5 linked regions of the Oryzias latipes genome follow. The protein of the gene in region 1 purifies or fractionates together with the protein of each later gene. This does not show direct contact. Links are inferred from orthologs where the notes say so. Each region holds a gene or a part of one and is shown in the gene's direction. Other genes may lie near its edges.

Region 1 (6,449 bases):
CAAGTTAAAAAGGTGAGAAAGGCCTGTAATTTTCATTATAGGTATACCTCAACTATGAGAGACAAAATAAAACAAATCACGAGATCTGATCTGATATTTAAAGAATTTCTTTGTAAATTTTCATGGAAAATAGGTATTTAGTCACCTACAAAAAGCAAAATTTCTGGCTCACAGACCTGTAACTTCTTCTGTAAGAGGGTCATCTGTTCTCCACTCGTTACCTGTATTAATGTTACCTGTTTGAACTGGTTATCTATATCAAAGACACCTGTCCACAACCTCAAACAGTCACACTCCAAACTCCACTATGGCCAAGAACAAAGAGCAGTCTAAGGACACCAGAAACTGAATAGTTGACCTGCACCAGGCTGGGAAGACTGAATCTGCAATAAGTAAGCAGCTTGGTGTGAAAAAATCAACTGTGGGAGCAATTTTTAGGAAATGGAAGACATACAAGACCACTGATAATCTCCCTCAATCAGGGGGACCTAGTGACTGACCTGCAAAGAGCTGGGACCACACAAAGGCTACCATCAGCAACACACTACACCACCAGGGACTCAAACCCTGCAGTGCCAGACGTGTCCCCCTGCTAAAACCAGTACATGTGCAGGCCCGTCTATAGTTGCTAGAGAGCATTTGGATGATCCAGAAGACGATTTGGAGAATGTACTATGGTCAGATGAAACCAAAATAGAACTTTTTGGTAAAAACTCTACCCATCATTTTGGAGGACAAAGAATGCTGAGTTGCATCCAAAGAACACCATATCTACTGTATAACATGGGGGTGGAAACATCATGATATGGGGCCGTTTTTCAGCAAAAGGACCAGGACGACTGATCCGTGTAAAGGAAAGAATGAATGGGGCCATGTATCATCAGATTCTGAGTGAAAACCTCCTCCCATCAGCAGGGGCATTGAAGATGAAACGTGGCTGGATCTCTCAGAATTACAACAATCCCAAACACACTGCCCGGGTAACGAAGGAGTACGTTTGTAAGAAGCATTTCAATGTCCTGGAGCGGCCTAGCCAGACTCCTGATCTCAATCCCATAGAAAATCTTTGAGGTAGTTGAAAGTCTGTGTTGCCAAGCAACAGCCCCAAAACATCACTGCTATAGAGGAGATCTGCATGGAGGAATGGGCCAAAATACCAGCAACAGTTAGTGAAAACCTTGTGTAGACTTAGAGAAAACATTTGACTGCTGTCATCGCCAACAAAGGGTTTATAACAAAGTATTGAGCTGAACTTTTGTTGGTGACTAAATACCGGTACTTATTTTTCACCATAATTTACAAATAAATTCTGTAAAAATCAGACAATGTGATTTCTGGATTTTTTCTTTCATTTTGTTTCTCATAGTTGAGGTATACCTATGATGAAAATTAAAGGCCTCTTTATTGTTTTAAGTGGGAGAAGTTGCAGAATTGATGGATGACTAAATACTTTTTTGCCCCATTGTACGTCTTTGTTTTCCTCGTTTGAGCTAACATAGCTGGCTATTTTTGTTGCAACAGTAATATTTGGTAGGGGGTGTGAGCTAGCGAGAAAGTGTGTAAACAGAGAGCTCTCATAACAGGGAGGAGAAGTGGGGCTGTGTTGCTCCACACCCTGTAGTCTTGACCACAACCCAGAACTGAATTTCTGAATTTCTAATGAACTACTGCCACTCTGCAGAAACTATGTCCTAGAAAGTGAACTACTGCCACTCTGCAGAAACTATGTCCTAGAAAGTGAACTACTGCCACTCTGCAGAAACTATGTCCTATGTCCAGAGGTTTTGTGATTTTTTTTTTCTAAAAACAGCTCAATCCTAATTTAAATACCACTGGGAATGCTTTGAAATAGATCACGCAATGATCCGAGTGGGACTGTAATGGTATTTTAGCTTGGTGATTAAATGTTCTTGCAACAATTCGTATTGATGTCTGTCATTTTGCACGCAAACCATCAATACAAGATAAGCGATCATGAAAACAAAAATCAGATTTCTTAGATTTAATTGTAATCAGATTTTAGGAATAATGGTGAGAGTCCAGGAGAAAATAGTTGTAAGAAAAAAATATCACATTCTTACAACCATTGACAAAAAAAGCAAGTGAATCAAAAATCTCCACACCAACTATGAAAGAAATGTGGAAAAGGTTCATGTAAATGTGTCCAATCGGATTGTTGCAGTAATTCAGCTTTCAAATTGTTGAGTCAGCAGGCTCTGCTTAAGTATTCAAATGTTTTGGCATCCCCTCAGATTTATTTAAACCACTTTTAAGTAGTTCCGACTAGCGTTCGGATTAAAGAGCTGTGCAGCCAGTTAGCTTGAAGCTATTTTCAGTCTTTACAGTAAAGTGGGTCGATCCCGTAAACCCGTTTGACTGGAGGAGCCCGTTCCAGCTCCGTTAGGAGCAGAAACCTTAGGCACTCCCGTCCCTGAGGGCTGCTCCCGCGTGAGCCCACTACCAGCGTCTCCGCGCGACGCGATGCTCTTCATTAGATCCAGTCCCATCAGGCACTGCGGGCTGCTGCTACACAGACTTCTCCACGGTTCTTCTATCTCCAGAATGCCGATTCAGGTACCAAACCTGCCGCTGTACACTCTACACCCGTAGAGACCGCCATGTGCGGATCTTATTATTGGATTGAGACCGCGGGATTTGGTTTTATTCCGTTTGTAGCCTAACATGCTAACGTGGCTAACACCAGCCGCTATATCAGGCGGAGCAAAAAGGGAGTTTCCTCCATTTCCAACCAAAACGCAGAAGTTTTTAGTGAACATTTAAACAGAATTTAAGCATTACGTATTTTGGAAGATAGCTTCTAGATATTTATTTAATGTGTATCTTTGGCAGCTTGGCCAACCTTTACCTAAAAGGTCATTTTTACTTGCCCCAAATGACCACTCGGATTTTGACGATTTTCGAAAGCTGATTTTTTTTTTGGTTTATAATTTGCGCTTTTCAGTTCTGTGCCCTTTCTTTTTAAACAAATGTGATCGTATCTCTGAATGAACCTTTTCTGTTTTTTCGATTTTTTTTGCAACCTGTTATTGTTAAAGTTGGTTTTCATAATCCCAAACGTCATAATATCTGTGTAATGGCGTACGTACATTATAATAAATAGCGATCTCCTGGTTTGTTGTTGACAATGAAACGTAAAAAATGTATTTTTAAGATGAAATATGCATCAACATTAATATTAAAAAACCTACATGGAAAATGATTAAACTGTCTTTTCTGAATTAGGTGATCTTTTTGTGATTTTGTCGCCCTCAAGTGGTCCTTAGTAGAAGTGCACAATCTTGTTTAGAAAACGCATTATTATTATTATTATTATTATTATTATTTATTTTATTATATTTTATTTTACCAGGAAATTCCATTGAGACTGCATCTCTTCTTCAAGGAAGACCTGGGCCAAAGGGCATCAATACAAAATAAATACAGTTAAAAAACAACTGAAATAAAATACATTACAAAATACAGATGCAATTAAAATTGAAATGAACAGTAGGGCAATGACTAATAGGATTAATTAAAAAGTGGTACAGATAGGTCAAGGGTGACATGTGCATGTTTCTTTTAAAAGCTCAGAAAGTTTTGCTTTAAAACAATTCAATGGAATAAGGTCATAAGGTATAAGGAATAAGAAGGAATAAGGTTATTATTCAGTAGAAAATGCCCATCACATTTTTAAAATGTGTGACTAATAAAATGTCTTTGTTTTGTTTAATTTTTGTTGTGTTACTTATTTCTTCTTTTTGTCATATCTAATTTACAATGATTAAATTTGCAGATTTATATCTATGTACAAGTAAAAAGCAAATTCTAGCACACGTTTGAGATAAAAAAAAGAGAAAATCATTTTTCTTTTATCAAAGTAACATTAATGATGTAAATAAATTAGGTGATAATGTAAAAACAACAATTCAAATGTTGTAGGTACGCTGTTATTTTCTTATTGTTAGAATATATGCACTCATTGTGGATTCATTAACAGGTTGGTGAACAGCTTCCAGCTGTGGCAGTTGATGAGGGGGAGCCAGGAAAAAAGGTGTCCATGGATCAGCTCTTTAAGGGGAAAAAGGGAGTCCTCTTTGCTGTTCCTGGAGCTTTCACTCCGGGCTGCTCTAAGGTAAAGCGTCAGTTGACCCTGGTTGTTCTTGATTTGCATGCAGTGATCTTTTGCCCGCTCATGATTTCCTCTCTTGTTGCTCCAGACTCACCTCCCAGGTTTTGTGCAGGAAGCTCAGAGCTTAAAAAGTAAAGGCATACATGAAGTGGCGTGCATCTCAGTCAACGATGCATTCGTCATGGCTGCATGGGGGAAGGAGCACGGAGCAGAGGGCAAAGTATGGATTCCTGTCTGCATTATACAGTCTGTATTGATAAAGACTGGAGGTTGAGCTTGCTTCCTCTTCTCCATTTGCAGGTCCGAATGTTGGCTGATCCGACTGGAGCATTTACAAAAGTAACAACATTTGCCGTACAGCAAGCAAACACAGTTTAACGTTGTCATTTTGCCTTCTGATCCGCCTTTCCTTTCTGGTTTACAGGCTGTTGACCTGTTACTAGACAGTGACCAGATAGTGCAGGTGCTGGGAAACAAACGTTCAAAGAGGTAACATTCATTTGTCCTTCATGCTCCTGCAGTCCTGATCACGGCGCTTGTGGTTTTCAAGCTGAAGCTAACTGCGGTTCTGACCCGTGCCTCAGGTATGTGATGTTGGTGGAGGACGGAGTGGTGAAGAAGATCAACGTGGAGCCGGATGGCACCGGGCTGACCTGCAGTCTGGCCTCTAACATCATGTCGGAGCTGTAGCTCCAAATGAGCGCACTGAAGCAAACCGTTAACCAACAGCTACTGTAAAAGTTGCACAAGGAGCATGGCGCTGACTTGCTCAGACTTCTCTCTTTTCCCAAAGTTTAATGCAATTGTAATGTGATCGCTTGCGACAGAGCCGGAACGCAAGTCATACGCACAATTATGACACAGGGAGCTTTTTCTAGACTGTTCTTTTGTTTAATCCTAGCAAATAAAATTCTCTCTAAAAGCAATAATCTGCTGTTTTTTTTGGATATATTTTTCTAGCTAGTGTGTTTACAAAGGCTAGTAATTATCCAAAATTACTCAAGTGAAAGTAGAATTACTTTGACATAATATTAGTAAAGCAATCATCAAAATGACTGGGTAAAGTCATTTATCAGAAGTACTCAAGTTAGAACTTCTGTAGGGTTTTGGTCAAAAACCTTACTTAACCCTTGTGCTATCCTAGGCACTTTAACGTTGGGAGTTGGGTCATCTAGACCCACTAGACCAGGGGTGGCGAACAAGTTTGTCACCAAGAGCCAAATTTTTTCGCTGTGAGAGTCAAAGAGCCACACCACACACTGACCTGCCAAAACGTACACACACACGCAATTAAAGCCGTATTACTTTCCATAACACACTCATCTCCCTACAACAGAACAGCAAGTTTTGTACTGATGTTTATTTCAAGGAAAGAATCCACCTTCAATACACACATCAATGCAGCTTAGCCAGAGTAAACACAGAGACTACCCTGGAGGTCAGAGACCCCCTCCACACACTCTCTCTCTCATCTCTCTCACACACACACACTCTCTCTCTCTCTCTCATCTCTCTCACACACACACACACTCTCTCTCTCTCTTTATCTCACTCTTTTGTCTGCCTCTCTCTGACACACACAACCACACAGTGACAGGCGGTGAGGTTGATGCTGGAGTGGCACTGACTCCTCTGAAGTCAGATTTACGATGATAAAACTGAATATTTCACCATTTATCCAACAGCATTTAACTGGTAATTCTTTGTGTCTCAACATTCCTCTTTCAATGACCCTTACACCAACAAATACACAAACATCTGGACAGAGCATCCTTCTGGTGTCTGAGTCATTCATATTCACAATAAACACATTAAATACATTACATGTCAGTTGTGTGCAACTTAAATTAATTTTGACCTTCATTAGAATATCTTGCTTTTATATGTTTTTTTAATTTAAAATTGAATGACTGACATCTGCATCAAAGGCAAATAACCTATTTAATAGTAATACATTGCAATGAGTCAGTTCGTACTTAAAAGGAATAGTCCAACAAGTTCTGAGTTTAAATTTAACTGGCTGCATTATCCACGCCTCTCCTTCCTGCTCATGTTTAGGAACCTGGTAACTTCTTTTCTCACTCACTCAGCCAAACGGCATGCAACTCAAATCTGCTAACAGCTACCTGGCTCACGGTTTTACACTGAAAATGTCCTACTTCCCATGACTCTTAGGGGCTGAAGGCGGGGCTAACCCCGAGTTCTCCACACCATAGATATGTGTGCGGGGTGGGCGGATTGGGCGGTTTTTCGCTGGGTCTGGCGGTTTTCTCGTGACTTTTGGGCTGGAAAACTGTGTCACTATCTGGCAACACTGATC
Region 2 (6,579 bases), on another chromosome or scaffold:
AGCTGTTGTAAACCTGTAACAACAACCTGTGGCAACTGGACCTTCAGAGCCTTGAGGGCCAAACGAGAGGAACAGATTTATTCGTTTCTGTGATCAAAACCACAGTGTTTATACTTTTGAAGAAGATAACTATTTCTGTTATTTTCCTGTTCATGTGATTTCAATTTAGAAGTTTACTCAGAGCATTTAAATTGTGGAAAAATATACTGTACATGTCAGGAACTCAGGTTTATGTTGACAAAAGGTTTTCTTTTCAAGACAGACTTTTAATTTTAGTCTAAAACGTATTTTATTTTTGGTGTTCAACTACGAAATTCACAATAATTTTGATTCAAAACCGGCCCTTTTAGAGTCAAAGCTTGCAGACGCCTGCATGCTATCATCCACACTCTTTCCTGAACCCACGCGATAAGAAAAATAATAATAATAAAAAAAAAAAACACGCGATCAGACAATTGTCGCGATGAGTCGTAGAAAGCATTTTCTTTTCCAGGTCTCTTTTTATTTTGTTCCTCGTTTCATTACCAGTTTACCATTTCGATTATCGTACTTTTTCGTTAGTAGGATTAAAATATAAAAACGTACAAAGGTATTCGATGGATTTAGCTAAGATAGTACTCTACTGTAGTACTAGCAGCCGCCATTGTTTGTGTGCTGCCTGCTACACTGCAGCAGGTACAGCAGTGACTGCTTGATCCGTTTTTATTCAGTTAAATACCGGAAAGTTTTATAATCTACCTCACAGACACGTGTTAACTTCATAACACATTTATTAAAGTCGTGAATCTACTTAAAATCTCTCAGAAAGTGCCTGAAACATCAGGATATGCTAGCTCACCGGAAGTAGCGCTCCACAGAGTTCTTCTTCTATGGATTTCACTGTACCAACCCATACATACCAACGCACTACTGCCGTCTCCCGGAAGTGTTGGGTTACTGCATTAAAATGAGACTTGACCCGATAAAACTGTGGGTGATTGGCATTTCCTACCTACTGCTAGGGGGGACTGCCACATCTCATATTACTTGCTTTTTCGATGACAGACTTATTACTGTTTTGTAAATGTGTGTATGAAAGAGAACATAGTTGTCAAATGCAAAAGTATTTTAAAGGCCCACTCCGATTTCTAACATGTTCTTGTAGCCTTTTTCTGATGGAAAAGGACAAATATAAAGAAAATGATGCTCAACATTGGATTTCTGAGTATTTCTTTATTTAAATCACCTCTTCTGAACTGGTATCTGGATCTAAAGCGGCTCACCGTTTTTGTTGCACAGGTAATATTAGGATGGGGGTGTGAGGGGCTGTAAGCTAGCAGGAGCTCGCAGCATAAGTGAGAGCTCTCAGTCATGGGCGACAGGAAGGGACAAAGGGGGGCAAAAAAACATCACTGAAAAAGGAACAGGAAAGAAAACTGACACTGCTAAGTGATGATTCGAAACAGGTTGGCAAAACAGAGAGGACTTGGACCTGATCCACTCTTTTTTTTAAGGCCACAAATACAAAAATGTAAATAATAATTACAAACTGGACAAATATAAAAGACTGACATAGCATAAATAAAGCAACATTTACAATGGACTGGATTTCAGTCCGCAGATCATCTTTATTTCATCTATTTCCACACACGTTAGATTACAGTACAATAAGGCTGTGCATTGTAAATGTCACAAGTTTCATGTTTAATTTGATCTTGAGTTATATTGTAAGCTATTTATTTTAAAAGTTAGCATGTTGGGCACTTTGAATTTACACTTACAGTAAGGTTTCCACACTAACCATTCCCAACCGACTCCACCACATTGGAATGACAGACGACCGCTGCAGGTGACCCCACCCACACCAAGACGCCGCCGTGAACGTTTGCAATACAGACCATGTTACCTGGACGATGCAGCCACGGTCTGCCGTCCTGTTCACGGATGAGGGTCGGGTCACCGTGCAGAAAAGATGGTCACCAGCGTTGCTGGAGAACGCGAGGTGGAGCGAGACGATGAGGTCAACATGGTCTCCAGGGTTCACTTTGGTGGGGGAGGAGCAACAGTTTGGACCGGCATCACCAGGTTCTTGTAGACGGTCCAGTCACTGCAGGTTCTGACCTCAGAGACGTTATAGAACCATCATCATCCCCCAATTCCACCAGAACACCCCCAACTTCCTGTTCATGGATGATGATGATCCACCACATGGTGCCAGAACTGTCACAGCTGGACTTCAGGAAGTGGGAGTGGCTTTTCTAGTAGCCAGCAATGACCCTTGACCTGAACCCAATAGAGCAGGTCGGGGATCAGCGGAAGCAGAGACATGCAAGTGACCTGAGCAGAACTGCATGTAGCACTTGTGTAAGAGTGCTATTGACACAGTCAATGTCTGTTATTTTGGTTTTGTTTTAATTCTAGGGGTAATAAAAATCAACCTGATGAAAATTGTGTTTCTTCTTCACTATTAGTGATTTCACATGATTTTTTCCCTCAATATTCAGACCGAATAGGAAAAGTCCTCGTGTAAATAACAACGTTCCTAACTCCTTAGTAGTGTCACTGCTTTAGTGAGCCCCAACGCACAAACTTCTTCCAAAGATTTCTCAGGGCCGAAGGAGCGGCTTTTATTTTGAAGGGTGTAGTACTTCCGGGGGCGCAGCTGTCGGGGTCTACTTGTTTCCACGCAGCCGCGCTTCTTTTCTCCAGAAGCTTCAAACCTTCCTCCGAGTTCTCGGCGGGCAGTCAGGTGTGTTGGGAGTGAACGGGGTCAGTCTGGTCTGACGTCAGCGTCTCCGGGTTTTGCGGTTTGTTCCGGAAGAAACTGACAACAAAAAAAAAAAGAAGAAAAAACCCGGTTTCTTAAGCTAATGTTTAAAAGAAGCTAGCTAGTAGCGACGGTCCGGGCCCGCCTGCCTGCGGTTCCGTCTTTGTTTGGGTCCGGGTTGGTTCGGTCGAACAGCCTTGGAGACGCGTTTGAAAGTCGCTGGCGGTGCCTTTGATCTAACCGGAGCCGCGCGGCGTTTGTTGGTTTTCGACCAACTTAAGAGACAATGAAGGAACATGTGTGCTTTCTTTGTGTGTGTGTGTGTGTGTAACACTTCAGGTAATGAACTTTGAACTTCAGTTAAACAACCTTTAGTCTTCATTCCCGCCTTAAAAGTGCGTCTCTCTTTTTTCTTCTTATCTTTCTCCTTTTGAGTCGTTTAAGGCTGTAGGTTCCGCGCGCCTCTTAAAGGCTTTTGTTCTCCTGACTGCCGCGTGACCTCCTTGAGGAGGAGGGGGGGGGGGTGCAGGGGGGATGAATGCAGAGATCTCAAACCGTGAGACTTTGTTTCAGCTGCAGTGCCTAAACGTGTTGTTTTTCTGTCTTCTTCATCCGTGGATCTTCTAGTCCCTGCAGTTGCTCATCCTCCACCATCATGTCCGCTGGAAAAGCTCAGATAGGCCAGCCTGCCCCAGACTTTAAAGCCACCGCTGTAGTGGATGGACAGTTTAAGGACCTGAAGCTGTCGGACTACAAAGGTACTCCATTATTCAGTATTTGCACCTGCTCCTGCTTGGATTGGTGTCACCGACGCCATCGTTGGGGTAACTGGATTCATCCTCTCTGGGTTGAGTAACCGGTTCCTTCTGTGTGTTTCAGGGAAGTATGTGGTTTTCTTTTTCTACCCTTTGGACTTCACCTTCGTTTGCCCCACCGAGATTATCGCCTTCAGCGACCGGGCGGAGGAGTTTCGCAAGATCGGGTGCGAGGTCATCGGCTGCTCCGTAGATTCTCACTTCAGCCACCTGGCGTGGTGAGTCCTCCTGCTGGAAGAACCGGAGATCACCCACAGCAGCCGCGGTGACGTGTGCAAAATGTCTTTGATCGGAGTAGAATTGAACCGTGTTCATGGGCCCAGAAACACTTTATACGATTATAACAAACGTTTACATATGTCACACTTTTGGTTCGGATTAAATCATTGTGACACGAGCAGAACTCTCTAAAATACCGGAAACGTCTGTAGAAGACGAAACATTGAGTTCTGTTGTAAACAAGCTGCAGCATAGAGGTGATTTTAGTGCTTGTTCACATGTTTTCTTGGCTGCACAGAGCCAGAAGAAGGGTTAGCTTAGGCTAACACGTGCTAACAACAACATTTAGCCGTGGATGCAGTTCAAATCCATGCGGTCGATGCTGCAATCTGCATCTCTGCTGCCTGCATGTAAACATGTGGGAACAACATCAGCCTTTATTCAGAAATAACATGAATTCACAGGATTGTTTCCACGGTTTCTCAGGACTCTGCAGCGTTTCTCCATTGAATAGCCGCCTCCGTTAGCTCACATCCGTCCCAGAGCCGCTCCTCTGCTAGGAGACCCGGTTCTATCGGGAGACCCGGTTCTCCTGAGTCCAGCAGCTCGCTCACGCAGAGAAGCAGGACGGACGGCGGTTCAAAGCCTCTTCTGGAGCGCCACACCGCAACAAAACGCCCCCCACGAAGCTACACGTCTCTGCTCTGATCAGAGACACGCTTCACACGGGTGGAGCAGGCGGTCGGTCCTGTTTGTGCTCCAAAGTCTCCTCCGGAGCGTCACACCGTCTATAGGTGACGTAAACCAGGGCAGCAGTGACCCACGATTAGAGTAAACGGTTTACATGCACCATGATCTGATCAACAATCTGCATAATCCGTGTTGGTGGAACGGCGTATTTACATGACACATTTTTCTTTTGATCTGGCGTTCGTTCCGATTACTTTTGTCCATGTAAGCGCAGCTCCTGATGAGTCAGCGGGTTGCTATCAGAACCTGTTCCTGGAAAAACTGCGTTTGAGCGGGTTGGGAGTCTTTGCAAAGGTCAAGGACAAGTCGGAAAGCTTTGATAAGAAAAGGTCGGCAGGGGAACGCAGGCGGAGGTTTAACCTGTGAGGATCGACGCGTTGTCCTCGAATTTAAATCCGAATCTCAGTTTATGGTGGACTGGGGAACCCCCCACCCACACCCATAAACACACACACACCCACACACACACGCACACACAGGGCGGTGCAGGATTTGAGTCTGCACCGGCAGTATTTACAAACGTGGAGCAATTCTATAGGAACACTTTCTAACCAGAGAGCAGATGTGGTACAACAGCTTACATCAGCTGGTTCTGAAGACCCCCCCCCACACACACACACCCAGGTTTATCTCCGGTCAGGGTCTGGCTGCAGGGTCTTGATAAGTGCTGACCCAACGGTCTCACAGCTCCTCCCTTAAGTTCATCCTTAAGCTGCTCCTCCTCTTCAGTCCGGGTCTTGGTCCAGATTTAAACCTAAAGCCTATGGAGTAAAAACCTGCCCCTCCCTGTCAGACGTTAAAGTCCCCCCAATATTCTTCCACTCGAAACTTTTTTTTTCTTTTCCACAAAGCGTTCCCGTAAATGCGGCCCTTCAGGTCAACATGCGTGGTTGCAGGTTGTGTGATCTGAGTTGCAGTGAGCTGCAGTAAGGAAAAGGTGAAGATCACTTCCCTCATCATCACATTTTGCTCAGTTTGACTTGCAGACGTTTGTCGTGAAAAGGGGAATTTTCAGACAAACAACATAGAAACAGGACAGTTTGAACACAAATCTGTCAAATAGTCGAGCTGGACTAGAGGTAAGATCAGGCCTAAAATATCCAGCCCGACCCGACACAGGCCCGCGGGCATTAAAGCCGAACCCGGTCCGAACCTGACCAATTAACTTTAATAACCGTTCAGACTCGAGCCCGGGCTTAAGATTTTACCTCTAAGCTGGACGTGCACAGCTTCATCTGTTCAGAGCAAAAATCTTAAAGTATAGAACTGCAATGTGTAGATTTGATAGGAAAAAAGGAAAAAAGAATGACGATAGTCATAGTTACAGAAAATACCTTGTTTGACTTGGCTTCCTTATTCACATTTCTAATTCCAACCCCATTCCACCCCCCCCCCCCCCTTTCTATTGGGGGCATGGTTTGGCACGTTACCTTAAATATAAAAGTTCCTAAAGTTTTATTTTGAAAGTTCAATGAAAGTTTTTACTTTTTCCGGCCTTTTGCTTTTGATGCGTCGTGGGATTGGAAATGGAACCGTTGCGTTGCAGAGGGACGGACGCCAGACGCTGGCGTGACGGAGGCGACGTAAACATTCCTATTGATTAACCAAGGTTGCACTTGACAGATGGACTGGTGGAAATCTGGCGTCTCTTCATTCAAACTTAGTCTTTTCTTTTTTTTTGCCCATATTCCTTTGCCTTTCAAGACATTGAGCAGAATGTACATCGTTTTGATAAAAAAGGTGGCATGAGAGTTATTTTTGGACGGGAACTTCTGATTGGTTGGAATTTCCTGCCCCAACAAAGATCACATGTGTGCGGGACAAACGGCCCACAGCTGTGGTGCCCTTGAGCAAGTACTCTGACCTCTGCTGCTGGCTGTTTTTGCCCCACAGCTTCGGTTCGCTCTGAAACTTTGTGAACATTGTAAAAGGGGCGGAGCTTCCCTGAATAGAAACGTGTCTGCTTTTTTCGTGAATTCCCTAATATGTTTATTTTATTTTTTTTTTAATTTAAAGAATCCTGTTGGAGACGTGGGATCTTAAGTGGAT
Region 3 (6,626 bases), about 8.7 Mb from region 1:
GAAATTCTTTTATTTTTTCTATCTTTATTTTTTGTGGAAGAAAAGTGGCTAAAATGATGTGAGTCACTTTATTAATGGGAAAAAAACATTTTTAACCAAGTTCATTTTTTTTCCTTTTAGAAAAATGTCTTTCGTTTGCTAAAATGTCAAACACTGAATATCATCTCAGATTTTTTATAAATAGAGGCTCCGTTGTTTTTTTTCTAGGTTGTGTGTTTAGTACGAAGTTGTCAATGCAGTGCCATCATAAGGAGTAAACGAAATACATTTGGGTATTGAATATTAGAAAGGGGTGGTACCAACAGGGAAATGCATACTTTTTGTTTAAAAACTTCACATTCAGCTTTATGATGAAGTGGTTTCCCTTTTTTTGGTACACATTTGAGTCAACTATGATCAGGAAAAAAACAAACTGCTCTAAATGTGCTATTTTTCTGGTTGCTGAAAAATCTGTCGTGGTCAACTGTGGTCCAAACGTTTATGTTCATAATCCACAGATTTATGCTGAGTGTTTAAAATGCATTCCCACTACTATAAAAAGAAATTCAGAACAAAAAACAGAGTGCAGACTTATCCGGTAGGATCCTTTATGTCAGACGGTTGTAAACATTTCTTTTGCCATTTTAATACATTTCCAAATTAATAAAAAACTATTCAATTTTTCTATTAGACACCATTGATGTAGCATCTTCTTTTAATTTCTGTTTCTTAATGACATTTTCCCTGTGCAAAAATGTTTGACTACACACCAATTTGTATGGTTTTAGGTCAAACTAGCCTTGAGCAAAAGCTTCATTTATATATTGTGCTTATACAGTCAAGTGGCATTTTACTTGCATGAAAATTGGAACAGACAAAATGTTAAAAAAAACCTCAATGTTCTAGAAGTGATAAAACTTTTCGTTATACAGGTTGTTTTGGCAATTGAACTGTGCTTAGGTTTTATGAAAAATCTATTCTAAAGTGAAGTGCAGTCAAAATCGCATTGGGAATGAGTTTTGTCTCATCACATTCTGCCTTGTGGGTTTTCCATTCTTCTGTTTAGGAACAGTGAAGGTGAAGTTATAATCTAGATGTGCAAAAATACACGTGTCGCTTAGGATTTATGAGTATTGTCTGCATACTTTTACAAGTTTACCTTTTGAGTTTATCTTTTGGTCTTGAAGAAACTTTTTCCCCAAAGCCAAAAAATCCCCAATTTATTATTATTATAATTTTTTTCTACCAAATCTTCCCCCGGGTTCATAGAGTTGGATTGAAGGACTTGGTTTACAGCTGTCACTTTTCATATTTTTGAATCATTTTAATACGTTTCATTTTGATCACCAGATTTAAAAACAAACAAACGAACCTCCCCACTCCTCCTTAGGTTAATGCAAAGGCAGCAAGTGTGGAACTACAGTACTAATTTGATGAATGGAAGGGTATTGTTGCCTTGGACACTGCTGTAAATATGCTTCTTTCACTGATGACTTTAAAGGTGTTATGGTAATTGTTGTTAATAATGTTACATGTTCAATCCAAGATGAAATGCAGAAGGAACAACACGCATTTGTTTGCTTTAACATTTTTAAATCCTAGTGGTTTGAGAATTGACTGATGTTTTTATGGCTTGTTTAAAGTACAGAAGACATGGACATAAATATGTCAATGTTTCAGCCACAGGAAACTTTTTAATAAACTATTTTTGTACCAAAATGGTTTTTGTGTCCTGTATTTTAACCCATGGTCACATCTTATTTTGCTTGAGCAGAGAAAGTCATCTGTAAAAAAAGGACAATTTGGGATGACCGACAGTCTTTGATGATGGAAAAATATTTTTTGAACGTGTTTCACTTTTGCACTAATCTATGCAGAAAAATTTTCTCATTTTAAAATAAATGGGAATCTCAAATAAATTATTAAAGTTGCAGTCCAATCATCTTTTGATCTATTTTAACGTCAGTTATGTTGCTTTTAGGCGATTTTTTTTTATGACGTAGTTTCTGCAGAGTGGCAGACGTTCATCCAAAATTCTTCTGAGTTGTGACTGGCCAGACACTAACTGCTATTGCTAGCAGTTAGTGCTAGCCATAGCAAAGAAAATAGCAGTTAGTGAGCCTGCCCTATTTTCCCATCATCTTTTACACAAAAACATTTATTTTCCATACAAATGTTGAAAAATAGAAGATTGTGTGCCAGATTAATCTTTTGGGGGGGAAACAACTTAATTTATTGTTCCTGGAAAGATTTAAGAGATTCAAGTTAGAATTGTTCAATGATATGGGGTATAAAAACTTGATAGATTTTTCAGCAGCAACTGATAAGTTGCTGTTATCTGACCAGAACCAAAGTTGTTTTTGTTTAAAAGAGTGCAAAAACTATTCTTATTATTCTGATTGTTTTCAAACATAAACAATATTTCTATATAAAAATCTTTTATAGATAAAATTTTTACAAAAATGTATTAACCGCAATTAAAGATATTAACATTAATAATTAAACTTCACATGCAATTCGTACTCCCATGATTCATAGCTTTTTTACTTCTGGAATCTTCTTCGACCAATCCAAACAGACTATTTGACATTCATCTCGGAATCTGATTGGCTATTTCCAACTTGAGCCCGCCTACAAAGCCTCGCCTTTCATAACTGTAATTGGTCGCCTTTTCCTAGCAGTGTCTTGAGAGACTTGAGCAAAAATGGTGCTGAAAGCAGTTTGTGTGTTGAAAGGAACAGGAGAAACCAACGGCGTGGTTAATTTTGAACAGGAGGTAAAGTTTTGTATTAAAGCTTTAACTTTGTCTCACGTTATGTTCCAAAGTTAGCAAACGTGACCTTTGCTTAATGTTTATCTCCTCTGCTTATTTAGCTCTTCATTGCTAAGCTAGCTAGGATGCTAATACATCATTATCCACATTAGGAAATGCCTTTTTGTGCTGGAAGTTTGCTTTTACTTAATTATGTTTCGCCAAAACCGGCAACAGCTTGCAAAATTACAATCGTTTAATAAGTAGTGTACAGAATTAATGAACCACTATTTCTTTTTTTTCTCCGTACTGAAAAAGTAATGCGTACATCATCATCATCATGAGCTGTTGTTGTCGGCCTTAAGCATGTTGTCTTCGAGTAATTTGACTGAGGTCCATGTTTTAAATTTGCACAACCTTTAGACATTTTACGACTTTGGGTTTTGTAATGATTAACGGTCCAACTGCCTGTGGTTGCGTAAATGAGGTCATTGGTTACCGTTACTACACTGATGGCGCCAGTTCTGTTTAGTTTCCTATTTTTAAGATACATTTTTAGAATTGTTATCCCCATCCAACCTTAAATACCACAATATACTAATGTTGTTGCTGAGTCATAGGAAGTCTACCAACTTGTTGTTTGTTTCTAATAACTTATTTGGCGTTGCTAACAATCTAGACTTCTCACGTAGTAAAAACAGATAAATGTCTGAGCTGCGGTCAATATTTCATTTTCTGAAGATCTACTTTTGCATAAGACAGTCTAAAATAGTAGATTGAATTATTTTGTAGCCACGGTATTTGGTGTGTGTGTGTTTAGAGCGATTCAGCCCCTGTGAAGGTGACTGGAGAAATCAAAGGCCTCACACCAGGCAAGCACGGCTTCCACATCCACGTGTATGGAGATAACACCAATGGTGAGTTCATGAGCCGATGAGTGACTGGGATTCTTGAAAATGCTGTAAATGAAATCTAATATTATCTGACGAGCTTCCACATCCCGTCCCCCCAAACATTTCTTTTTCTAGGGTGCGTCAGTGCAGGGCCTCACTTCAACCCATACAACAAGAACCACGGGGGTCCTGAAGATGCAGAAAGGTGAGGGTCATGTGGGAAAGGGTAGCGAAGTAAATGCAAAACCTGGTTCTATAGCTTATTAGTTTTCTGATATTGGTTTGAATTTTTATTTTATCCCTCCCCATTAATAAATTGGAGTGCTTATAGATGTATACCAGGACAGAATTATAACATGACGGTTCTGTAAACTTGATTCCTTCTGCTAGTAATTACTCTGCCTGCCTGCATCACTCACTGCTGTTATAATCACCTATCATGCTACCTTTACACTGGGCATGATGTGACGATGTTTAGAATATGTGATCAAGCTTACTTGCTTGAAAGTAACTATAGCTTACGTTTCTGGATGATTTATCTAACGAATCAGCTAATTTCTGAAACTTTGTGAAAAGAGCCATCCCATTTTCCATGCAACTTGGTGTTGACACAGTAAATAAATCAATCTCTATCTCTCTCGGCAATGTCCTATTCCTAATCCCTGCATGTTTATTTATTTCTTCTAAAGCTTAAACGGCTCACATTTAAATCACTTAAAGCTGATGGAGTTGTGCTGACAGTTGGGTAACAAATGAGGCATGCTGGGAAGGGGGCTCTGGAAAACCAAGGTTGTTAAAACACTGAGAAATGGGATACATGAAGTAAAATGCACTCTAGGCCTTTGAATTTTGTGCTTATGTCTTTTGAAAAGATCACATTGACTCACCTACATGCACATATCTAACTTGAATGAGGATTAAATTAACTCCAAATCCACCGATGGTAGCCTTAACAAATAGTTTTGGAGAGCAAAGTCTGACAAAGCTGAGCGCTCCAGTGGAACTTCAGCGTTTGTGGGTTGTTTGCACAACTTGCATCATGAACGGTGCTCTGCATTGAGCTGAGTTATTAAAGACTGAGATAGTGTGTCTGGCCTCAGTTTATTAGATTTTTATTCTGGGTTCTCTTTTCTTAAGCTCTGTTATTTCTCTTTTACTTGTGCTTGTTTTTGTGTGTTTTATTTTAAGGGGCTTATTTATTATTTTACTTCATGTGCGGGGTTTGTTTTTATTGTATTCTTGTTTTTTTTTATTTTTATGGAAAGCACCTTGAGCTGTCTGTTTGACATGAAAGGTGCTTTGTAAATAAAATTAATTTGAATTTATTCTGAAAAGCACTCTCCATTAGTCGCATATGATAAGTGCTTTAAAAATAAATCAGACTTCTTTGGTAGTTATTCAGTAGGAATATACTTTTTAAAGATAAAGTAAGCTTCTTTTTTTTTAACAACTTGAAATGCATCTAGTTGGTTTTAACTGACTAATCTATCTAACCTGCCCCCCCCCCCCCCCCCACATCTAAGTGTCTTAAGTTTTTATTTGAATTTATTTGATAAAGGAAGTTTTTTTTTTTTTTTCTTTTTAACAGACACGTTGGGGACCTGGGAAATGTGACCGCAGGAGATAATAACGTTGCTAAAATAGATATCACGGACAAACTTATCAGACTCTCAGGTCCAGACTCTATTGTTGGCAGAACTGTGGTGGTAAGTTTTTACTTTTTAATTTTGTTTTTAATATTTTTTATTGTATAAATTGTTAAAGCTGATAGTATTTTTCTTCCTGCCCTATTTGTCCTAATCATTTAGGTCCATGAGAAAGTTGATGATCTTGGAAAAGGTGGAAATGATGAAAGCCTTAAAACTGGAAATGCTGGAGCGCGTTTGGCCTGCGGCGTGATCGGCATCGCTCAGTAAAATGTTCAAAACCGCACTGAAAGCCGCTTCCTCCCACGGCATTTAATGAGACCAACAAAGCTACTTAATGTAACAGCTAGTCCTTAGTTTTGTTCTTCTGGACTAATAAACTAGCCAAGCCATGCTTTGCCATTGTTCCCTTGGACAGTTGTATGTATGGGTTCGTTTGTGTAGTGGTCCCAAAGAATTGGAAACGCACAAGTTATTTCTGTATGTCTTCTATTAAAAGTAAAATGGGTTATATCTACTGTGATTGTCTCATTTGGGCACTGAGAATGACTAAAACCCCACTTAAATCAAATTGGGTGTGACGTTTTTCAACCTTATCTTGGCGCCAAAATCATTTTAACCCTTGATTGCATATATTGTTCATCGTAGATATTTGTTTTGACGTTTGTTGCATTTGAATGTTTCAGAGCATCAAACTAATAATATATTAGTCAAAGATGCCACAAAATCCACACAAAAGTGAAAATATGAGTTTCAATTGCAGTCAAGCCTTTACGAGAAGTGGTTAGGAGACTTTCACAGGACTGTGGACCAGAAGAGTTTGGAAAACTTTAAAATTGTCCATGTTGGAGGGTTTCAGAACATATGCATTAATTCACTGCCATCAGAATTTTGGAGAGGTCTTTACTAAACCACTAAATGTTCATATATTTTCTGAAGCCATTCAGGGTTTTGTTTTGGGTCAGAACCCAGGCATGTTTCAACTTGAGGTCACTAAAAGAGTACATTCCCAAGGATATAATCTTTGCTCCATTTACCACACTGTATTTTAGACCAGCAATTATTAATAGGTAAGGTTTACAAAAAAGGGAAATGTTTTATGTTGAGTTCATTATCCTGCAAAAATGGGTCACATGGGGATCCTGATTTTTTTTTTTTTTTTAATGTGGAGTCAAAAACAAATGAACAGCACTTTAAACGGCACTTAAAATTAATGTTGTGAAGCCTGTCTTTGCCAGAAATATGAGCGACGATTAGACTTTGGAAAGCTGCAATGCTTTTCTCTTCCACTTGAGGGCGTTTTAATGCTTTAAGACTAAAGTTCTACAGGGTAGTAAGGGGTAAAGGTAGATTCAT
Region 4 (5,186 bases), on another chromosome or scaffold:
TTTACTTGTTTGCTTGTAGGTTAGGGGTAAAAAAAAAAGATTGAATGATTTAAAAAAAACATCGATCTTTAGCTTTAATTAATTAAATCAATTGAACAATTTTACTTTAAAGTCATTCTTACTTTTTGTGGGGGGTAAAAAAAATCCTTAGTTCATTTTCTATGATAAAAATTATGATTTTTGTTGATGAAACTTCCACTTTTATGAAGTCCACATCCGTGGTTTTTTGAAAGTTGGTTTTCATCATCAAATAAAAATGGGTTTATATAGAGATTTAGGGGAAGAAAATGTATTGAATCAAAATTTGAATCAATTTAGTGTTTTGGCAGCCGTTGATCGTAACAACGTTTAAGTATTATTACATAAGTAACAGCGTTATAAGTTAAGTAACTGAGTAATTTAAATAATTACTTTTATCCCGGCTGCCACGCTGTTTTAGTCACTTCGTATAGATTGTAGTGCGTTACCTTTTAGTTAATTGATTTGGTTTAAACTTTTTTTCTTTCCCTGAGCGTCTTCTGTGTCACGCGACGGGGGTTGTCCTACTCGAGATCACGATTGGAAAGGGATTCAGGTGGGCGGGGGCACACTGAAGCGCTCCAAGATGTGATTGAGCAGCGCAGCCAGCAGGATCAAATCAACAGGACGTGTCAGCATTTTGAGGCTGGAAATATTACGTTTACTTTCTTTAATTAAAACAAGAGGAACAGATGTTTGTCAAATTCATGCTGTGTATCGGAACAAAGACATTTACCGACGTCCATCTGAAGCCATTTAAATTTAATGAACCACTGAGCCTCAAACTTGTATTTTTTCATCTCACAACCCACCGAGTGTGTGCTCCGGTGACAAAGCAGAACCGTTAACCTTATTGCAAAGTACCCTATGTGGTGGAAATCATGCTTCCACTGATCACTGTTGACTCAGACATTCGGAGATCTGAGCAAAGCCGAAGATGTAAAACGTCCATAAAGTAGATTAATGATGAAAGTGCAGCTAAAGACATCATTTCAGGGGATACTTGAAATATGTTAGAAACATTCTCTTTTATTATCATGCAACATTTGGTTTTGCCTTTATGTAAAATTAATATTTAGATTTATAGTTTTCTTGCTGCAGTTTTGAAGTGTGATATTTCTGACTGACAATGTTAACGTTTAGGTTAAGATTTAGATATTGTTATTTTATTGTTATTAATTATTCCTGTTGCTTTCCATTGTTCCCCTCTATTTCTAAAAAGGAAATTATTTTGTTTATTTAAAAAAAATTGGATACCAGTAACTAAAAGAAGTTGATACTTCAAACCTTTATGTTCAGTTTTTGAAGTTAATATCATTGATTTTTCTATATAGCTTTTTGAGTGTTTTTGTGTGATACTTCAAAATTTTCTTTAGAGTTCTATACTTCAATTCCCTCGCTCTCTGATAATTTAACAGAATTTCATTGGTAGAAGTATACCAGGATACAAGAAGTGTCAATTTCACTAAATTATTGAACTTAAGTTATTAGTTGTTTGTTAGCAGCTGAGGAAAAATATATATTTTTTTAGCCATTTTAAATTATTTTTAAAATGTAGTAACTGAGTTACTAACTCAAATACTTTTTGGGTTGATGTAACTAGTAACTATAACTAATTACTTTTTCAAAGTAAGATTCCCAAAGCTGGCCCTAATGAGCAAAGACGGGACAGAGAAAGAATTTTTAGAAGATACGGAAGGGGATAAATCCAGCAAAGCGGATTGAAAAGTCTCCTAAAAATGTCTGAAAACTGCAAAACACTATGCCAAATTATAAACAGTGTTAACTTCTCCATTTTAATAAAAGTTCTATTTTATTCATTTCTCCTTCATTGTACTTGAGCTGTATCTGAATGTCTTCTATGAGACATGGCGTCTTTTGAGTTGGGACTCGTCTCAGGAGTAGTTTGGACTTTCGGTCTGCTGCCCTGAGTGTGAACAGGAAAGCAGCCAAAGCAGCACGATCAATAGTTTTCTATTAACTGTTTTTGTTTGGATGAGCTCACTGCACTGCTTAGACATGGACAAAGTTAATGCGGCAACCCCACCCTTTTTTGTTGCTTTTTTCTTTCAATAAGCTCTTCAATAATAAAATTCTTGCCTTTTCCTGCTTGAAAATTTGAAGGTTTTTAATCCCAGGTTGCTGCATTTTGCTTTTTTTGGGAGGAAACGGAACTCTCTCAATGCTTTTTTAAATATTACTTTTCAGCAGGAAGCTGTCACATGAGACTTGAACAGTTTTGCACTTTTGCAGGCCCTACCGCTCTTTTAGCCCATGGCATTGGCTTCGGCAGCACAGTCACAACGCATCCTGCCATGAAGGAGAAAATGATGGCTGGAGGTAAGAAGTTGGTGATTTCTAATCTGCTGCTGTCATTTCAGCTAAGAAACGTGTAATTGTTTTTAAACAGCAGCAGATGGTGCTGTACTGGCTGCTCCTTTATCTATAGTCTTCCTGCAATGAGAGCACACCACTCAGAGGTTAAAGCAGTTGCAGGAATTTAATAGAACACGCTAGAACTGGGTCAATTGAAATGACAACAGATAATCCGTTCCTGAAGCACGTTGATGGGCAGCATGTGCGATTTCTTAGCTGCTGTTTGAAACTCCTGTATGGTCATTAACCAAATCTTTCTTTTTTTTTTTTTTTTTTAGATCACTATAAATATTCAGAAGCTCGAGTACAGAAGGATGGACATTACATCACCAGCCGTGGACCAGGAACCAGTTTTGAATTTGCCCTGACAATCGTAGAAGAACTTATGGGGGCCGATGTTGCAACTCAAGTCAAGGCTCCTCTTATTTTGAAGGACTAAATGTTTCCACTGTCACCTAAAAAAAGAGGCCTTGCCTCAGTAATAACTATTAAATTCCTTAAACTGTGTTTCACATAAAACAGTAAATATATTTTTCAGCCCAACTAAGATTCTGAGTGTTCTTCCTGTGTCATAGATGCTTACAAATGCTTTCAAAACGGAAATAACACTAAAATGCATTCAAGAGCTTTTCAAGCAGTCAACATGCTCAGCGTATTTCGACAGTTTAATGTTTTTCAAACTAGAAATAAAAGTTGAAAGTGATGGATCTTTGTAGTGTTACTTGTACTGTAGGTCACTGACGTGTTTTCGCATGCCTGCGGCGGTTGTTGAGACCTAAATATAGACGGCATATTGTGTTTTAACGGGGTTACAATTCAGAAGGCGGGAAGCAGAAACCGAATGGATTGACGGTTCAGCTGACCAATCAAATCCCCCAGCTTGGCTGCAGTTGTGGCTCAACCGACGAATGGCACGCGGCCGGTGGGCGGGGCTTTGGAGTCAGCGCATGGTAGCTGTTTCAGAGCAACACAATCCGGAGGGTCTTCATCTCAGTCAAGAAGGAAGAGAAGCGTTTTGACGAAGGTAAGAGCAGTAGGTTTCGGAAATACTTTGGTTATTTGGGGTTTTGTCAACGAGTAATACTCACCCGAGGGGCTTTAAACGGCAAGGATGGTCCCTTAAAAATTTCATTCATTCATTGTGCGCAACGAAATCACATAAATAGCCACTAAAGGTGTGTAGAGTTTAAAATTAGGTAAGATTGTTAAGCTACAGCCGAAACAAGCAGCTGTCTGTTACAACAGTAAGTGTGTGTTTGCCACTAGGACTCATTGTACTCGCCGTGATTAGCCTGCTAAGTGTTCAAATAGGTGAACATCAAGTTCGCTGCAGTTCTTGTATAATGGGTTGAATTCAGCTTTTTTTTTTTTTTTTTTTAAACTGGCCCGGTGGGGGAGCGGTGGCGGCATTACGCGCTCTGATGTGCTGAGACTAAACGCACAAGATTGAGTCCTCACGCCGGGAGATGGCTCTGCAGAGATGGGAGCCGACATGAGACGTCGGTCTGAGGAGCCGTCCGTCCTCAGCAGCCACCGTAGTCAGCCTGAGCCGCAGAAGCTGCGTTGTGGAGCTGATGGGAGTGCGGCAGAGGCCAGCTTCAGTCCATCAGACCGAGCGAGGCATCCCCGCCGCCGCCGCCGCGAGGAAACCAGCTAGAAAAAACCTTCCGCTCTAATATAGGACCATGTTCAAAACGCAAAACTGCTGCCTTTTAAAGAATAAAAAAAAGACTTTTGCCTGCTAAAAAGGACAAGTCAAGATGCTATCTTAGTTGTCTCGTTTTACAATGGGAGGAAATGCAACCCTAGTTTTTACCTAACAGCATTTTCAGAGTGAGAAAGTGCCTGACAGTACTGCCGGACTGCAGGCATTGTTTGCAAAGCATGCAAAAGTCAGAGGTCATGATTAGAGAGCAAGTCAAATGGCTTTTTAACACATCATTATGCAGTCTGACGTTCCCTGTTACACACTTTATTTGCATTTTTTTTAATTGATCAAACTCAAGAAGGCGAACTCGGTGTATTGATTATATGTCTATATATGAATACAAAAAAAAATCAATACCCTTGCCATAAAACGGTCTTCAATATTTCATTTAATGCTGTTGCTGGTATGTAAAAGCAACATCAGCCCATTAAGTGCCTCAGCTAAAGAACCAATATTTGCCTCTCCCTGGAGGACAAATGCTCTTCTGCCTGGACAGTTTCTTGACAGTACTACACAGTCCCAAACATGCAATATTTGATATTTGTATATTTCCTGATAAATAACATTTTGCACTGTTGCACATAGCATGTTAGAATTATTCTGCTTGAGCAGCTGTACAGTAAAGAGCTTGAGGCTTGACTCCCTATTTCTGGATGGGGCAGAGCGGGGTAGGGTAAGGCTGTAGTCTCTGTGACTGAGTCATTGGTTTAGCTAATGATGCAATTAGAATGCTTCACATTGCATCTACTGATTAGACCATAGGGTTCTCCATAGAATGTCACTGCAGTAGTACTTGTACCATTTGGCTTAAAAGGACCTACCGGTATATCTACTCATAAGGAAACGGTCATGCTTTGAGGACAAAACCTACTTTTAAACCTTTATTTTTTCCCCAAATGCGTTTAAAAAGCATTTGAAATGATGTCATACGAATTTTTGAGGATTCCATTGAATCTTGCAAGGGAATTTTGCAAGAATGTAGTTATAAACTAAGGAAAAGGAAACTAAGCTGTTTATTAACATTGTTGAAGCCAAACTATTGGCACGAAACACAGCTCAGCCCTAAAGCAGCAAGATTTTTTTC
Region 5 (6,471 bases), on another chromosome or scaffold:
GCCACAATCACGTCCTCCTTTTGATCTGGTCCTGCTGATTTCTTTCCATCACTGCCTTAAAAAAGGCAAGATTCAACGTGGCACCCAATCAACCTCCCACTGTTCAACTCCCGTATTCCCACCGCTATTTCCTCATTAAACATTTAGCTTTATCAGACATAATTACCTGAAAAATACACTCCACAGTGCACGCATCACTTTATCTACATTTAGGATCGGGAGAAAACAACTGATGTTGGTGTAATTCAAACAAAGTTCTTTGATGAAGAGACATTTTTGACATTTCTTTTTAAATCACACACATTTGATGGTGGAGTAGGTTTGTTTTCTTGCTCTGGAAACCTGAGGCTTTGCTTTAGTAAACAATAGGATTTCCCGATCACACCATGAAGGCATTCACTTCAGCTTTGAGCAAAATAGATTAAAGGTTTTTAAAAGACATTTCATCAAAATGGTGTAAATTTGTGCACCATTTTTGTTTTAACTTGTGTATGGGTTGGAACTTCAGCCGATTTTGACACCATTGAACCAAACACTGAAACAAATGATTTATAGGATTAACACAATTAAATAGGGGAAACGTGTTGCACCTAATTTGTGTGGATAGAATTTTTAATTCTTCTTTGTGCTGTTTCAACACAAATGGTTTCAGTCAATCTGACATTTTTTGAGTAGAATTCACGCAATCTCTACACAATTTCTGATAAGCGGATAAGAGGTTTGTACTAAAATGACTGTGGTTTCAATAATTTGGTAAAATGCCTGTAGATATTCTAGTTTAAAATAGACATTAGCAGCATTTCAGCCCACCTTCACATCTGTGGGAAATTGTGTTTCAAAACTGCAGTGCTGACTGAAACCACAATGACAGCCCCACAAGTGTCCTTCAAACGTGTACGATCACACGCCCTCATTATGCAGACATTAGGATGAGAAAGGGGATGAATGCAGGCCAGCGTTTGATCACTGGCTCAGAGTGCTGCTTCTAAAGGGGGTTATTGTGTTTCTCCCTCCAGTCTGGTCCTTGAAGTAGCGCTATGGCAACAGCCTGCAAAGATGCAGCTTGATTATAGCTGAAGACGGAGGGATGCTTCTGCCATGACAGAGAAAATACACAGAAGAACTCTTTCCAACTTTATATACACTATTGTTTACTCTACTGTGTGTAGTCTTATTATTATTATTGTTTGACCTCCATTGAGTTGTTTCCCCCTTTTGAGATAATATCAATCATGAGATCTGTGGTCATATGAACATTAAGTTAGAGTAAATGAGATCAGCTTCTGGGCAAAACAGAGAAATCTGAACGTTAGCATTTCACAATTCATACGCATCATCGCTCTAGGTGTGAGAAAATCACTAAAAGTGAGGTATCTAAATAAAGAACTAGACATAGGTTAATCATTTGACAAGACTGAATGATTCACATGAAGAGCAACCACTTAAGGATTATGCAGATCTATTTTTGTTAAACAGAAGACATTTTGTTGTTTTTCTTTACCTTTTTTGCTTTTATTTAAGCGTTTAGGGCTTGTAATTAAACAACAAGAAACCTCTTTCTGTGCGAGACAGTGTGTACATTATGTGTTCTGTTCCTTCCAGTAAATATTACAGAGGAGAGGAAAGCAGGAAATGAAAAAGATAAATGACTTTGGCAGCAATCTGGATAAGCACACAGTGTTGCAATAAAGTGTTTGAAGGAAGGGAGTGAGATTTTCCAGAAACTGCTTAAGAAAATATAATATCGTTGGCAAGAGAAATGCAGCTTAAAATACCCTGGTTGAAATATAACGTCTACAAGACTTTTCCATACCGGGAGTTTTTTTGTAAGGGCATGGCCAAAGTAGAAAAAAAGGAGAGGAAGAGTTTAAGAAATATGGATAAACGAAATGTATACTTGACAAAAGTTATGAGAAAAATTGAGAAAGCTACCAAACGCTGTTTTTCCCCTCGTCTGTGTTTTTAAAACAAATTAATGGCTTCATAAACTAGAGATGTTAGAAAAAAAGAGGCATCTCTCTAGCTTCCTTTTCATGAAATAGCAGTTAAAAAGTGCAGAGTCATGCTGAATGCTTCATTTCTGGAAATAGGGATCAAGGAAAGGTTCTGTTCTTGTTCGGTCGATGTTATCGCGAGATTTCTGGGCTTTATAAAACCTCCTGATAGCGCACTCGAGCCCGCACGTTCGCTTCTGACAGTTGGTGTGGCGTGATCGCTAAGAGGTGAGTACCATAATGCCTTCATCTTACCACCCCCCCCCCCCCCTCTCGTTTACTTGTGTTTTTAAAGGTTTTTTTTTTTTTCATACAGTTAAACCCGGAAGTTTTCAGTTCAACAAGTGTCTGTTTATTTCCGTTCGGGATTTGATTTCGTGTGGAAAATCAAATAACCAGATTTTTTATAACTTTTATTTCCCCATATTATATTAAATGAATTGGGTCTTAAGACTAACACTTTTGGGCCTCTAAACGTTTTCTTTCTTTCTTTTTTTTAAGCGTTGTGGGGCGTGAAAACCTCTCTGTTCCCCAAAACGGGGCGATCTTCTTTCCCACCAAAAGTAAAACATTTAACTTTGTCTCCCACATGCGGAAATGTAAACTAAAAGAGGCGCTCGTAAGCTGTAATAAATACTAGTTTAAGTGGACACTGTCTAAATAACATTCCAACTCTTTTTCAAACCATTCTCTCATTTGACGCTTTTATTTTGAAAAACCCACTTCATTGATCCAGTTCATTATTTTGACTTTTGTATCATGTTCTTTCTAAATGTTGTTATATTTCACGTATCCAGTTGATTATGCATTACGTTAAAACTCTTAAAACTACTACTCTTACTACTTCCTCTTTCATGGATGCATAGATTCGTGCTTTTTGTCTGGCAAACGAGGAAGGCTTTTTTTTTTTTTTTTATTTAATCCCACTTCCTCCTTCTGTATTTCAGTAAGGACAAACATGGCAGCAGGAAAGGCAAAGATTGGAAGCCTGGCCCCAGACTTTACAGCTAAGGCTGTGATGCCTGACGGCCAGTTCAAAGACCTGAAGCTGTCAGATTATAGAGGTAAAAGCCTCAGTCTATCTTGTAAACAATAATTAAGGCAGCGCAAGAGCACTAATACCTTATATTTTATTTTTCCTGTTTCACTCTTCCTACAGGAAAGTATGTCGTTTTTTTCTTCTATCCTCTGGACTTCACCTTTGTGTGTCCCACTGAGATCATCGCCTTCAGCGACGCTGCTGACGACTTCAGGAAGATTGGCTGTGAAGTCATCGCTGCCTCTGTGGACTCTCACTTTTCTCATTTTGCATGGTACTTTCAGATTTTTAACATAATACCTTGTGCTTCAACTTTTGCAAATAGTTGAAATCAATTTTTCTTTTTGTTTTGGTTTGAAAGGACAAACACACCACGGAAACAAGGCGGTCTGGGTTCAATGAAGATCCCCCTGGTGTCTGACACGCGCCGCACCATTTCCACAGATTATGGGGTCCTGAAAGAAGATGAAGGCATTGCTTACAGGTGACACAACAGAGTTTTTTTTATTTTTTTCTATTTGCACATCCCTAAATTAGACCTTAAAGTGTGGATGCCATGCTTTGAACAACTTTGTCAAATAAAAAAGCCCTTTAAACGCTGATTCTATTGATACCAATAGTTCGCGTCGAAAAAAATCCGAAGCATATGAATAATAGACATCTTTCGAAGGAATCAGAGATTTGGATCTGCCGCTAGAGCGCAGGCTGGAAGTGAACCCGATATGACCTGTGACGTCATGAAAGGCGTTGATTTTCGCAGTTCCGCTTCGGACAGCATGTAAACAAAACCGGTAGTCTTCGTTTCTCTCGTGTTTAAATCTGTTAATCATCAACATGCCAAGTCGTTGTGTGGCAGCTGGATGTAGCAATACATCTACTGAAAGTGTATCTGTGTATAAAATTCCCAAACAAGAAACGCTGCTGAAAAGGGGAAAGTTCAAGAAGGTGGACGGCGAAGGATTTTTCCCTCCAGATCTGCAGGAGAGAAGTCTGCGTTTTCGAAGGGACAAAAACCGGGACACAAACGAAGAATTTTGAACGGAGAGTTGGGAGGAGGATCTTGGCTTCTGAGTCGAGGAAAGGCGGGTGAGCTGGAAGCGAGCGAGCCGTTTTCTGGGTCGGAGAGGACGGCGCTGGAGTCGGGAGCGGAGGCTGCTAAGCTAGTGTGCATCACGATGGATCACATTGAGGCGAAGTAGTCGTGTTTTCTGTTGTCCTTGGATCCAACTGGAGTATTTCAACGCACTCAATGTTTTGCAAGAGAAGCAACAGGCCTGCAACGTTTTTTTTCTTTTGCTTTTGAGGTGCCGGTACCATGAGTAAACTAAACTGTGTGTGTGTGAGCGCGCGCGCGCGCACGAGAAAAGGTTTCAAACGGGTTCAAACGGGTAAAACTGTTAATGTTCCACAGTTGTTAATGGTATACAGTGACTTTGTTAACTAAAGAGTAGTAATATCTGGGAAACTTTTATTTTGTGACATTTATTTTGTAAATTGGGTTGAAAACCAGTGTTTACCTTTGTTTAGATTAGGCCAAAAGGGGACATTTTGAGTATATTTTAGGGTAAGTGGAGTAATTTAATTTTATACATTTTTTAGACTTGCTGGAGTCTAGCCGAATCTTCATGCTGGCTATCGTCATGATCGGCATGATCACTAGACCTACTACTTTCTGCTATATCCTCCTCACTTTCGCAAAAGGGTTCGAATCGATACGGTTGCAAAAGTGACTCATCATCATGATAATCTCCGCAACTTTCCTCTTCATCTTTCTGTTCATCTGATGATAAATCGCTAATAGAGACGGTAGCATCACTCTGTGCTTCGCTATCGGTGCTAGCCATGTTGTCTGCCTTGTCTTCCTTTCGTTACGTCACAAACAGGGCGGCGCGAATTCGGCGGAATGCGTGAAGCCGGCGGCCGTCCTCGTTGTTTATATTGCGTTTTTCGCTATTTATTCTTTTTCGAAAAATATTAAAAACAATCGCAACATGAAATAGAAACTATTTACTATATTTTGGCTTATTAAAATAGGCCATGTCACCCACACTTTAAAGTTGACTTAAACCTGCAATTTTTTTTCTTCTCTCCATGATTTTAGAGGTTTATTCATCATTGACGATAAGGGCGTCCTGAGACAGATCACCATCAACGACCTGCCAGTTGGACGCTCGGTTGAAGAGACTCTGCGTTTGGTTCAAGCGTTTCAGTTCACTGACGAGCATGGAGAAGGTATGATACTACTGCTGCTATTACCTTGATCTGCATGCCTGGGAATAATTACTTTGAAGCAAATGTTTACAGTATGTTTATTTGCATTACAATACAAAAAATACTACATTTTTGGATTATTTTTCCTAAAACCAGACTTTTTTTTTTTTTTTTAACCCTAACAAATATTTTCTTTACACTGCGCCTGTGCTTTTATACTGGCACATTGTTATAGTGGGACCTGCTGCTCATCGCTCTTTCTTTTCAGTCTGTCCAGCTGGCTGGAAACCAGGTAGTGACACCATCAAGCCTGACGTCCAGAAGAGCAAAGACTTTTTCTCCAAACAGTAATAAAGCTACGACTCAAGTCTGCTGTAGGAGCTGTATTTTGAAATAGTATTTAGCACAATGTGTAAGTGTCCACTGTTCCTGTTTTGGAATGCTCTCCTGTCCATGTGGTGAACATTGTACTTGGACCAATTTCTTACTGTTGTTACAAAGATTCCTACAACCATTGTTCTTGAAATGGAACCAGATGACCTGTTCTCACGGTTTCTTTTTTTTTTTTTTACTGTAAGCATCTAAATAAAGAAAAAATGGACTCCTTTTTAAGGACTTTTGCTCACTAAAAAATAAAGGTGAAAATGCCAATAATGTTGTGAACAATGTACTTTAAATGCCCACGTAGTGCACAGAAAACTGCAGTAAAAAAGTATCAAACTGCAAAAAAGCCTGGTGTTGATCTACTTCCTGTTCCACAAAGCCTACCGTACTTCTGGAGAAGGATAACTTAATGAAATCTGAAAATTAGGCACATAAATTAGACTGCGTATAGCTGGAAATAAGTGTTTAAGTGTTAAAAGCTAGATGGCCTGAACCCTCTGGTCTTTTATTAATGAATTAAAACCCTTTAAACAAATTTAATAAAACTTTATTGAGCCAAAAAATACAGATACAGACAAATACAACCAAAACACAGCAATGACCATAAAATGTGATGTAAATAGGAAATTACAAGTCAAATTGTAAAGAACACGAAAAGACATTTACTCATCGAGAGAAGTACAAAGTTATACAGTATGGTACACTTTGAAAGTATGAATATTTCTAGGAGTGTTCTATGAAAATTCAGTTGTAAAATATTGGGACAAATTATAAATCTCACTCTAATGTTAATAAAATTTGGTTGGAAAATTGCCAGTATTATGTTTTATCAAAACTAAAAGG

What was found.
Region 2: the proteins of prdx5 (region 1) and prdx2 fractionate together in Homo sapiens (co-fractionation; 3 studies listed by BioGRID). This does not show direct contact. The link is inferred for Oryzias latipes from reciprocal best matches to the Homo sapiens genes PRDX5 and PRDX2.
Region 3: the proteins of prdx5 (region 1) and sod1 fractionate together in Homo sapiens (co-fractionation; 3 studies listed by BioGRID and IntAct, with this or other methods). This does not show direct contact. The link is inferred for Oryzias latipes from reciprocal best matches to the Homo sapiens genes PRDX5 and SOD1.
Region 4: the proteins of prdx5 (region 1) and park7 fractionate together in Homo sapiens (co-fractionation; 3 studies listed by BioGRID). This does not show direct contact. The link is inferred for Oryzias latipes from reciprocal best matches to the Homo sapiens genes PRDX5 and PARK7.
Region 5: the proteins of prdx5 (region 1) and peroxiredoxin-1 fractionate together in Homo sapiens (co-fractionation; 3 studies listed by BioGRID). This does not show direct contact. The link is inferred for Oryzias latipes from reciprocal best matches to the Homo sapiens genes PRDX5 and PRDX1.

The regions. Positions count from the first base shown.
Region 1 is NC_019872.2:19,608,807-19,615,255, forward strand, and holds prdx5 (peroxiredoxin-5, mitochondrial), read left to right. Parts: upstream 1-2,305; 5' UTR 2,306-2,481; coding exon 2,482-2,574; intron 2,575-3,997; coding exon 3,998-4,132; intron 4,133-4,217; coding exon 4,218-4,349; intron 4,350-4,429; coding exon 4,430-4,468; intron 4,469-4,553; coding exon 4,554-4,618; intron 4,619-4,713; coding exon 4,714-4,819; 3' UTR 4,820-5,058; downstream 5,059-6,449. UniProt on the Homo sapiens protein: Thiol-specific peroxidase that catalyzes the reduction of hydrogen peroxide and organic hydroperoxides to water and alcohols, respectively.
Region 2 is NC_019859.2:35,388,560-35,395,138, reverse strand, and holds the start of prdx2 (peroxiredoxin-2), read left to right. Parts: upstream 1-2,608; 5' UTR 2,609-2,728; exon of another isoform or gene 2,729-2,748; intron 2,749-3,373; 5' UTR 3,374-3,401; coding exon 3,402-3,504; intron 3,505-3,625; coding exon 3,626-3,779; intron 3,780-6,579.
Region 3 is NC_019872.2:10,952,702-10,959,327, forward strand, and holds sod1 (superoxide dismutase [Cu-Zn]), read left to right. Parts: upstream 1-2,560; 5' UTR 2,561-2,683; coding exon 2,684-2,755; intron 2,756-3,551; coding exon 3,552-3,648; intron 3,649-3,759; coding exon 3,760-3,829; intron 3,830-5,212; coding exon 5,213-5,330; intron 5,331-5,432; coding exon 5,433-5,540; 3' UTR 5,541-5,788; downstream 5,789-6,626. UniProt on the Homo sapiens protein: Destroys radicals which are normally produced within the cells and which are toxic to biological systems.
Region 4 is NC_019863.2:8,958,945-8,964,130, forward strand, and holds the end of park7 (protein DJ-1), read left to right. Parts: intron 1-2,271; coding exon 2,272-2,358; intron 2,359-2,672; coding exon 2,673-2,833; 3' UTR 2,834-2,937; downstream 2,938-5,186. UniProt on the Homo sapiens protein: Multifunctional protein with controversial molecular function which plays an important role in cell protection against oxidative stress and cell death acting as oxidative stress sensor and redox-sensitive chaperone and protease.
Region 5 is NC_019875.2:16,490,384-16,496,854, reverse strand, and holds peroxiredoxin-1, read left to right. Parts: upstream 1-2,097; 5' UTR 2,098-2,222; intron 2,223-2,495; exon of another isoform or gene 2,496-2,557; intron 2,558-2,941; 5' UTR 2,942-2,952; coding exon 2,953-3,058; intron 3,059-3,153; coding exon 3,154-3,307; intron 3,308-3,394; coding exon 3,395-3,517; intron 3,518-5,134; coding exon 5,135-5,265; intron 5,266-5,512; coding exon 5,513-5,595; 3' UTR 5,596-5,967; downstream 5,968-6,471. UniProt on the Homo sapiens protein: Thiol-specific peroxidase that catalyzes the reduction of hydrogen peroxide and organic hydroperoxides to water and alcohols, respectively.